2 linked regions of the Drosophila melanogaster genome follow. The protein of the gene in region 1 interacts with the protein of each later gene in a pairwise test. Each region holds a gene or a part of one and is shown in the gene's direction. Other genes may lie near its edges. The genes, in order: CASK and Nrx-1.

What was found.
Region 2: the proteins of CASK (region 1) and Nrx-1 interact in a two-hybrid assay, tested with the Drosophila melanogaster proteins (one study listed by BioGRID).

What each region holds. Positions count from the first base shown.
Region 1 is NT_033777.3:21,819,566-21,824,830, reverse strand, and holds the start of CASK (CASK), read left to right. Parts: upstream 1-2,156; 5' UTR 2,157-2,348; intron 2,349-3,807; 5' UTR 3,808-4,125; coding exon 4,126-4,184; intron 4,185-5,064; coding exon 5,065-5,177; intron 5,178-5,265.
Region 2 is NT_033777.3:22,467,528-22,472,560, forward strand, and holds the start of Nrx-1 (neurexin 1), read left to right. Parts: upstream 1-1,950; 5' UTR 1,951-2,957; coding exon 2,958-3,863; intron 3,864-3,991; coding exon 3,992-4,468; intron 4,469-4,533; coding exon 4,534-4,845; intron 4,846-4,909; coding exon 4,910-5,026; intron 5,027-5,033. Other genes in the region: CG5377 (uncharacterized protein), read right to left, coding at 1-455. UniProt on the Drosophila melanogaster protein: Neuronal cell adhesion protein involved in synapse formation, development of synaptic active zones, synaptic regulation and visual function. Plays a role in cell adhesion between the pre- and the postsynaptic cell.

The sequences.
Region 1 (5,265 bases):
AGAACGAGGATCGGCGACGGGAAAGAGACGGGGCTATCGCCACAGAAAGAGACGGCGAATGGAGCGAGGATATGCGGGGCAAGAAACAAGGAACTGGCAGCAACTGGGAAAGGTAACCGCGATGGGGATGGGGATGAGTCGATCGTTGGCGTTGAATTTGATTTTGATTTCACCTGAGTGGCTGAGCCTTTTTCCCTGCCCTTTTGTTGTTCTCCTTTTATCGAGTCGAGTATTTTTGTTTTCCGATTTTTTCCTTCTGCTCTGCTTACCGTGTTCCTTTTGGTGTTTTTGTTTTTTTTTTTTATTGTCAACCAACGCAGCAAACAAATGCAAAGCAACGACCTACGACTTCTCACCGTGAGTTGTGTATTATATCTCCGCTTTGTGCTTTTTTTTTATTAGGGTACAGTGGTAATTGGATAATATTTTTATATATATATATTTTTCAAGATTCGCGTTTTAAATAAAAAAACAAAATTTTTTTTTCTTTTCTATATATTTTAGCTGGCTGATACAAGTAGGTAAAACCACTTAAGAATGAGGAAGGTGTGTACTTTTTAGTTTATACCCAAACTATTTGATTGATCTCACAAATTATGAAAGAAGTTGTATAAATTAAAAAAAAAATTAATTACTTTTTTATTATTTCTGAATATTTCATAGTGCGTATAATTTAATTGGCTGCTATTTTACAATCGAAAGGTGGACATTAGTGGGTGACCACTGTTGTTATTGCTGATCATTAACACTTGTTGTTTTTGCTGCTCATCTCGAAATGGTTGTTGGTGCTTATCCTTTTCGACTATATCCCCCGTAGTAATATGGCCATATTGAGTTCATTTTCATCAGGTCTTTCTTCATTTGGCTGATGGTTTTGTGTTTGTTGCTCCCTTATTGGCTTGTTGTTTCTCTTGCATCTTATCTGTGTGTTGTTGTCGTTGGGCGTTTGGCGGTGATTGTTGTTGTTGTTGCTGTTCGAGGTTTTGTAATTGATGATGTTTATGTTTGAGTATTGGCCCCCGTCACCAGCCCCTTCCAACTGATTTAAAGATTACGCACCTACGGTTTTTATTTTTTATTTTCGAGGAGTGCGTGTGGGTTTTCCTCGTCTTCGGTTGAGGGACTCCTGTGTGTGTGCCTGGCATATTAATGCCAAGATCTTAATTTATTCTAATGGGTTTATCAAATGCTGTGGGGTAATAATAATAATAATAGATAAAGTTGAATGGCGCGAAAGAGAAGTAATGTAAATAATATGGTAATATTCAATGAGCTGTGAACGAGCCTGGCGATAAAGTAAGTTGATAAAGGTTCTGTAGTGAAAATCCCTGTATTAACACACTGGTGGCTTAGTCCAGTTAAATAAATCGTGAATCATTTTTGAAGGGGAAAATGTTTACTTTCAAGTTGATGAATGGTAATTGGCATCGTATTGCCGATAAAACTGGAAAGTGTTCGAAATTCGTATGTGCAATATTCCACAATAGCTTTATGCACTTGCTTGCGTACCGCATAAATATTTACCTCCATTTGACTTCACTCAAGCGGAAACAATTCAGTGTGCAATGAATTATCTTACTTTCGAGTAAATTTATTAAGCATGCAGTGGGTATTTATCAAAGGAAAACAACTGCCTTTTGCTGATAAGTCAAGCAAATAAAAGCATATGCAAAATGCTACCGAAGAGAAAGGAGCAGGAAAATATAATTTACTTTTTCTTTAACAAAATTAAAGTTTTAATAGTATTTATTTTCAATTTCGATAAAACATCTGTGTCGTTATGAATGACTATATTCTTAACAATATTCCAAAATTATACTTTCTCGTCCCCAAAACTTTTTTTCAAAAACTTCCGCGCAAATTTTAACAGACCAAATAAAGTTAATAACAAAATGACAGAAAAGCTTAGATACCAACGGGTTTCTGGTATTTTTCCAGTATAACCAGTTGCTTGATTCAAACAAACTTTCTTGAATTAAAACTTTGATTAACGAAGTAAGTTGCTGCAGTACCACCCTTAAATTTATTTTAAAAACAATATTTTTAATGAACACAGGTTGGTATCAATTTTCAATGGGAGAGCCGTGAACCGACTCCAAGTTCCGAACCAATCCAGCAATGCACCTGCAGCCCTGGAATTCTAGTTCGCGGCGAACCGGTTCAGTTGCAACCAGTTCTTCGCCAATCAATTCCTCACGGGCCGTGTTTGTTTTAAGTTAAAATTAGTAAATTACCCAATGCAATCAGCTTGCCAGGCGATTCGTGCTGCGCACCTAGACAATCGAGTGCTAATGCGATTCGCTAAAATGCCAAAAACCAGCGGCCGTTGAAGAATCGCTGCCAAATCGGTGGGTTTTCGTACATAAAACTATATGCGAATTGTTCGTGCCAGTGTGTGTTCGTGTGTGTGTGTGTGTGTGTGGTGTGAGTGTGGCCCCCTCTATGTGTGGCCGATAAAGGGGGCGGTGTCGTTGATAAGGGGGCGTGGAACATGAGCAATGCAAATCCTTTAGACAAAGAATCAATTTGCCAATTGTGCGACACTCGAGAGTCTCAAAAAGTCCTAAAAGCAGGGCCAAATGCACACACATAGTCAGTGAGTGAGTGTATGTGGGTGTGGGTGGGTGCGTTAGTGAGGTGGGCGGTAAGGTCGTGTGGAAAGTGTCAAGGCATTTTACAACAGCGGCACACGAGCAAGGTAAAACCCTCGAGCCCGAATACTAAAACCGAGCCAAAAACACCGCGCCCCATGCGCAGCTCTGCATTAAACATGACTACCAGAAAGTCCTTCGCGGGGATTCCCCGCAAATGCTCCGTCCTGCTCTCGCAGTCGCAACTCAGTTCTCCACATTTCGTGTGTGCATCGTAAATTGTTGCACATTTAAATATTCATGCAGCCCGGGCAGAAAGCATAGCTTATATTTTTTACGATTACAATTTTGGTGCTTTACACGAATTTCCCACGGCGCCGGCGCACTTTACATCCATGCTCGCCATCTTTCTCGCACTCCTTCGCTCTCTTTCACACTCTCTCGCTCTCTGGCTTTCTCCTTTCGGATTTTTGGAGTGCCATCAAAGTTTTGAAAAGTATGTTCAAGTGCTGGACCAAAAGGCATAATAATAGTATGGCCAAGACAAAGGTAGCGCCTCCCATCCACCCTCCCCCCCTGCGAACTTTCCCCGCGAACATCCTTGGAACGAGACCCTCGAAAAGGACACATTCTGCAGGTCCTGCTGGCTTGTTTACCTTTTCAGCTGGCCATCATTTCCGTTGCAAAATTCACAACGCCCACTGTGCGGGGATACTTCCTTCCTACCATTGGCACTTTCGACAGCATTTTGTGCATTTGTGGTGTGTGCCGCCTGTAATTGATTGGGGTTTACACCTGATATGAGTGTGATTGACATATCAAACAAGTTTCGGCCAGGCCAGTCTCATTTCCGTTGCGACACCATTAACAGTGGTCCCTCGAAAAGTGTTCCCATCACACAAGTGTCAACACGCCAGCCCAACTTTATAGTGGCATTTTCAATTTGATTGATTCAGATAGCATTATAAACTTAACTTAGTTTGTAAGTAAGATTACAAAATATTTAGGAAATTATTAGCAAATTTTCTTGATTAAAATCTGTGTATAATTTTTCACAAATGTAAACAAATTTGTTTATATTTGCGTCATCTGCTTGACAGAATTCTCGCAAAGCTTCTTGACAGTTTCTTAATTAGACGCCAAATAAATCTGATTAGCGGCCTTCAACTAATGGAAAAACTCACCTTCACCATTTTCACTTGTTATATTTTTCCAGCGCAAAATGCATTCTTAACATCAGCAGCTACGAAAACAGCAACAGCATTAGCGGCAACAACGAATCAACGACACCAATAACAATACCATTAACAACAAATCATCAGAAGAAACCGAAGGAAAACGCTCAAAGTTTTGGAGTTGCTCACTGGCCGCTTAGTTTTTTGTTTATTTTTTATGTTCGTTTTTGGAGGGCAGTAGGCGACGACGGGCAAAGGAAGCGGGAGAAGGAAAAGCGACGGACACGAAAAACAGGACACAACTCATCAATATTCGAAAAAGCAATTGAGTCGAGGCATCAATTCATCAATTATTCAAAATGACCGAAGACGAAATTCTCTTTGACGACGTCTACGAGCTGTGCGAGGTCATTGGCAAGTAAGTTAGCGCCCCACCGGCTATATCTTTAGCCGATTCTGCTGCTGACAGCTGGCATCCATGGCCATTATCTCATTATGTATTATGTATCCGCCCCGTATGCCCATCCCACCCACCCAGAAGCCGTAAATCATGCAACTATTGGCCTGGGACGAAGCCAGCTCCCCTCTATAAAAAACTTTCCCAAACGCCCAACTTTTGCATTATTCAAAAATGTATGACCAAACATTTTCTGTGCTAGTTACTTTTGCTGTGATCATCATAGTTTAGCCAGAAGTTCATTCACAAAGCTGTCAATGTTATTAAGTTGAACTTTGTTTAATTTCGTTGGAAAAATATTTTTCACTGATGTTGAAAATGTTCCATTAACACACTTCTAAAGTTTATTGAAAATGAAGTGTGAGTCACTAAATAGCACGTTTTTTAATTTTTTGCAATTTATAATCTATAAACTATAAGCAAAATGACGACCTTGAATCGCAATAGTTTTCCAAATTCAGCTTGGTGACATAGTTCAATAAAAATTAATCACGCTCATAAAACAAGATGATAGGAAATCGTTGCTTGACTTTAAATGAGTTATTGAATAGGAATTTGTAAGAAAATTAAAATTTATTTGTAAAATAATCATCAGTAATGTTATGGCAAGCTTTTGTATTAAAACCCCACGTTTGTAACTACAAAGAGAATACATAGTTGATTAAATTTCCTCTTTCTCAAGTATCTTGTTTGCTTTTAGACGCTCGGAAAATATAAATATTTTGCTTTTGTCGAAGCAAGATAAAATTTTATTCGCTCCCATTTAGACACAATCAACTTTCAATTGAAGTTTAATCCGAATTTACTTTATTCCCCCCCCATCCGGGATTGTTTCTTACAGAGGACCTTTCTCCATCGTAAGGCGATGCATACACAGGGAGTCCAATCAGCAGTTTGCCGTCAAAATCGTTGATGTGGCCAAGTTCACAGCGAGTCCTGGACTGAGCACAGCGGGTGAGGATTATATACACAATACACCTATATATATATGTATACACTCCGCTTTTATTTTTGACGGCACAATGAGACGACCTTGTTCGAT
Region 2 (5,033 bases), 650 kb from region 1:
AAGTAGGCACCTGCTCCCCAGATTGCTAGGCGATCCACAGCTTCCGCATGGCGACCTGCGACTATGAGCGCCGTGATGCCCCCATCGCTCCAGCCCAAAATGGAGAAGCGTGGTCTGTCCAGGGCACGCATCAAATCCACGGCTGCCTGGGCATCCTCCCGAAAGAATTCAAGGCCGAACTTGCGCTGCGGCGGCACTGATTTGCCATAACCCGGCGGATCCCAGGCGATGATGGTGTGACCCGGCAGCAGTTTCGGCAGCTGCTCGATCTGGGGCCTAAAGTCGGTCCACGAGGAACCCAGTGCTCCCGGCATCAGGAGTAGACTCCGCTCCCCACTGCCGCTCTCCACAATGTTCAAATCTGAGCCATTCACACGAACTTTCCGCTCCGTGTGCAGCAAGCGCCTGGTGATCGGGGAACGGGCACCCACAAGCCGGCACAGATTGCCCAGCATTACGTAAGCGGGATCTAACGGGGATTTTGGAGTATGGCAACAAACTTAGCTGCTTCTCAAGGGCTCTTCAGATGTCCAGAGAGGAATATTTGGCAAATTCTAATCTTTACACACGACGCCTTGTAAAGTGCACTTGATAAAGATCCGTTGATAACAGCTGATTGATAAGAACAGCTGTAAGTAAACGATCGAATTAGTGTGGCTGTAGGTGCGATGATGCCATATACCGTTAAATCAAAAGTAAATATACCAAAAAACTAATTTTAAAAGAATCGTTAATTTTTTAATAATTTGAAAAATATTTTCATATTGATATTTAGGCATTGGGTGATGCACTTGCATTTTTAAGAATGTTCCTGAAATTTAAAAGATTTTTCCATTCATTTTGAAGAATATTACTTGACAATGCCGAACTCTCCACAGATTTTAAAATAATGGTAGTTTAAAAGCCCTTGAAAGTTCAAGAGCTGCCGCTCAGTTTGATTTTAAGCTTTTCGCTCTTCCCCCAGCTTTTGGCATTCCCAATCTTAGTCCTTGTTAGTCCACTTGAACGTCACGACTCCGAAGGACAATGGACAGCACGTGCTGGCATTTGTTTAGCCTTTAGCGTGCGTTAAAATATTATTAAAAACCGTAAGTGCTTAATAGCAGGATCCTGGTCCCTGCTGTAATGGTCAGTGCGTGATTCGTGTGCTCAAATTAATGTGTTCGCCTGGACTGCGACGACGATTAATGGAGGCGACGGCCTTGCAATTGCTCTCCTAGGACGAAGGAGCAGGGTGATGGGATTTGACAGAGGCAGGACATACACCCACAATCGAGAGTAAGGGACATCACATTCCACTGCCAATGCAAATGCAAATCGAATTCGACTCCGAGATGTCGAAGTTGCGTAGTAAATGTCAAGGAATTTACACGGGTCGTCTCGGAGATAGTGAGCCCGGGGGGGTGTCAGCTTGAGTTGGTGTGTGTGAGTGTGCGTGCGGCCACAGGACACCCACGCACACAGCTGAACATGCATATGTGTGTATCCATGTGAATGTGGCATCTAATACGCTTTAGTGGTGCAGGTTATGAACCTGCGTGCTATTCGCTTATTACGCATGTGTGAGTGGGCAGCTGGTGTCTATGTGTGCGTTTGTGTGTTAGTAGTACACATATGCATGCCTCGTGCGAAGTAAGCGAGCTTTTAATTTTTGGCATTCCCACACACTACACTCAAAGCGTGCGGTGCTTTCCTTTTCCGTAGCACACTTTTTCGGGTAAATCAACAAAGTACCAATATAAACCATTAAATTCAAGATTTCCAGTAATTCTGAACGATTTTAACTTGTCTAAATGTAAAATCAGTAGTGTGAGGTACAAACTCCTTTGTCCAGTTCGATTGTAGTGCCATTTTCGAGTCGCCTAGACCGCACCAGTGGCTTTTTGTGAATAAGCTGGCGGAGCTTTCGTTATCCATTGGAAACAGTGCGAAGAAATTAAGTTTGAAATTGCAGTTCAGTCTTGTCGTGGATGCAGCGCGGATCGATATCGGAGCTAAAAGCAGCGGAAGGCGCTGCTAAGCAAATTTCGACACACAACATTTTTGTATCCCTCGAAATTGAACCGAAAAATCTGCAAAAATAAATTCAACCAACCAACAAAAACGAAAAGGACGCGTCGCGCTAAAATCCAGCCCGAAAAGTTACATAAAGCAGGAGCGACAAGAATATCGTGCAAATTCAAAGGAATAATTGTGTAATTGAAAAATCTGTGTGCAGTCTCTGCAACTAATTTCGTATCCAATCAATAGTTCAATCAATACGCATAAATAACTGATTGCTGTGGAATCAACCGCAGTAAAGCGCCCATTTTAGGGGCACTTGCTGTGAGGTGCTTAGAAAAATTTTCGCCTACATTTGCGATATGCAGTGAAAATTTTTTCCGATTTTTAGTATGTACATGTACGATGGAGCGCTCGTGGGCGCCACAAACTGCGGTGGCAGGGGTATCCGGCGAGCTTTTGGCCCAACCATAACCCCCAGTATTACTAATACAGCCGACTCGGTCGGAGAAACGGTTGTCTGACAAAGTATCGATGCAAAATATGCGCCGTTTTGAATTTAATTGCCAAAAATTATGCAAATCAAGTATACAAAATGCCGAAAACTGAAGGTGCTGAACATTAAGGACCAAAAAAATCAGGCGAAATCATAAGCAATAATCGGTGCAGTGCCGTTAACAGTCGACGTGTACCGTTAACATCCGCAGCCAACTTCGCGTGGCCGAGCTTTCGCTCTCGCGCGCTCTTACGCTCTCTCTTGGCAGGCGCGGATAAAACGGATTGCCGAGTAACACCAACACAAGGACACGCGAAAAGCTCGCGCTCAAGGACTGGAATACGCGACAGAAACACAGCGAGTGAGAGAGAGAGAGAGGGAGAAGGACACTTTACGTTTACGCGCGCAACGTGCGTAGGTGCCTCTGTGTGGGTAAGCCCGAGTGCCACCGTGCGTGTGAATGAAGGCGCCACATAGTGCAACATATCAGGATAACTATGCTGATGCGGCCATGACAGCCAGGACACGGCCAAGCATGGACATGGATCAGCAGCGAAATCGAAATCAGGCGGAGCTGAGGCTCCTGCCCGCCCAGCGCACCTCCACCTCCGCCTTTGAATCCCCCGACTTGCGGTTCAACAAGGCTCGCCGCCGGCGGAGAAGCGAGCAAGTGCCTCCCGTGGTCGTGGAATACCGTCGCTCCTACCGCGTGCTCATCGTCAGCGCCCTGCTGGTCAGTCTGGCGGCCAGTTTCGTGACGCTCAGCGCCGGATTCCAGCTAGATGGATCGCAAAACTCCTTCTACACCTTCCGCAAGTGGTACACCGGACTGAATGGGACCCTCGAACTGGAGTTCAAAACGGAACAGCCCAACGGATTGGTTCTCTACACCGACGACGGCGGCACCTACGACTTCTTCGAACTGAAGCTGGTGGAAGGAGCACTGCGGCTGAGATATAACCTTGGTGGCGGAGCTCAAATCATCACCGTGGGTCGGGAACTGCACGACGGCCACTGGCACAAGGTGCAGGTCCTGCGGAACGATGAGCAGACATCGCTCATCGTGGACGGCGTCTCCCAGCAGCGATCGACCAAGGGGAAGGAGTTCCAGTTCGGCAAGTTCGCGAGCAACTCGGACGTCTATGTGGGCGGTATGCCCAACTGGTACAGCAGCAAGCTGGCCCTGCTCGCCCTGCCATCCGTTATCTTCGAACCGCGTTTCCGTGGCGCCATCCGCAATCTGGTCTACGCGGACCAGCCGGGCGGCTCCACCAGGCGCCAGGAGATCAAGCAGCAGCGCGACATCAAGTGCGGCGATGTGCCCTGCGATCACGGAGAGCTGCCCGCCCGTGAAAGGCCGCTCAGGGTGAGTCCATTAGTCATTGATATACACAATACAACTTTTTATATTCTATTTAAATGATATTGATAATAAGAAAAAAGCCTCTATTTATATGTATCCCTGATTTGGTAAATAATCCTTTAATCCTGCAGGGTGTTCGGGGTGGCAACACAACCGATGCCTGTGAACGGAATGATCCTTGCCAGCACGGCGGCATCTGCATATCCACTGATTCCGGTCCAATTTGCGAGTGTCGAAACCTCGAGTACGATGGCCAGTATTGTGAGAAGGAGAAGGCGCCATCGGAAGCAACGTTCCGCGGTACACAGTTCCTCTCCTACGACTTGGGCCAGACGGGCGCCGAGCCGATAGTGAGCGCCCAGGATGCCATATCCTTCTATTTTCGCACCCGCCAGCCGAACGGTCTGCTTTTCTACACTGGCCACGGCACGGACTATCTAAATCTGGCGCTGCGTGATGGAGGCGTCTCCCTGACCATGGGTCTGGCTAATGGCAAGCAGGAGATGCACATAAAGCCCTCAAAGGTGCGCTTCGACGACCACCAGTGGCACAAAGTCACCGTGCACCGTCGCATTCAGGAGATCTCCTCCATAACCAGCTTCTGTCGGGTGGGTAACTGTTCATAGATTTTCTTGGTTCTTTATTCGAAATGGAGTTTTTTTTATCCCTGTAGCTGGTTACCGTGGTGGATGATGTCTATACGGATCACTCCCACATTGCTGGCAAGTTCACCATGCTCTCCTCCTCGCGGGTTTACGTTGGTGGTGCTGTTAATCCTCGAGCGCTTTTGGGTGCCCGTGTGCACACTAACTTCGTGGGCTGCCTGCGCAAGGTGGAGTTCTCAGCGGATACGCTTAATCTGAACCTCATAGACCTGGCCAAGAGCGGTTCCAAGCTGATCCAGGTTGCTGGCAATCTGGAATATCAGTGCCCCAGTGGCGATCCACAGGATCCCGTGACCTTCACCACTCGCGAATCGCATTTGGTAAGTTGAAACCTGTATGAAAATACGAAAAGTAATGAATTAATATTTGATTGTTATTTTAAAGGTCCTTCCTCCCTGGGAAACTGGCAAGCAGAGTTCTATAAGCTTCAAATTTCGCACCAAAGAACCGAATGGCATCATTGTCCTGGCCACAGGATCCAAGCAACCACGGGCCAAAAACGTGAGTC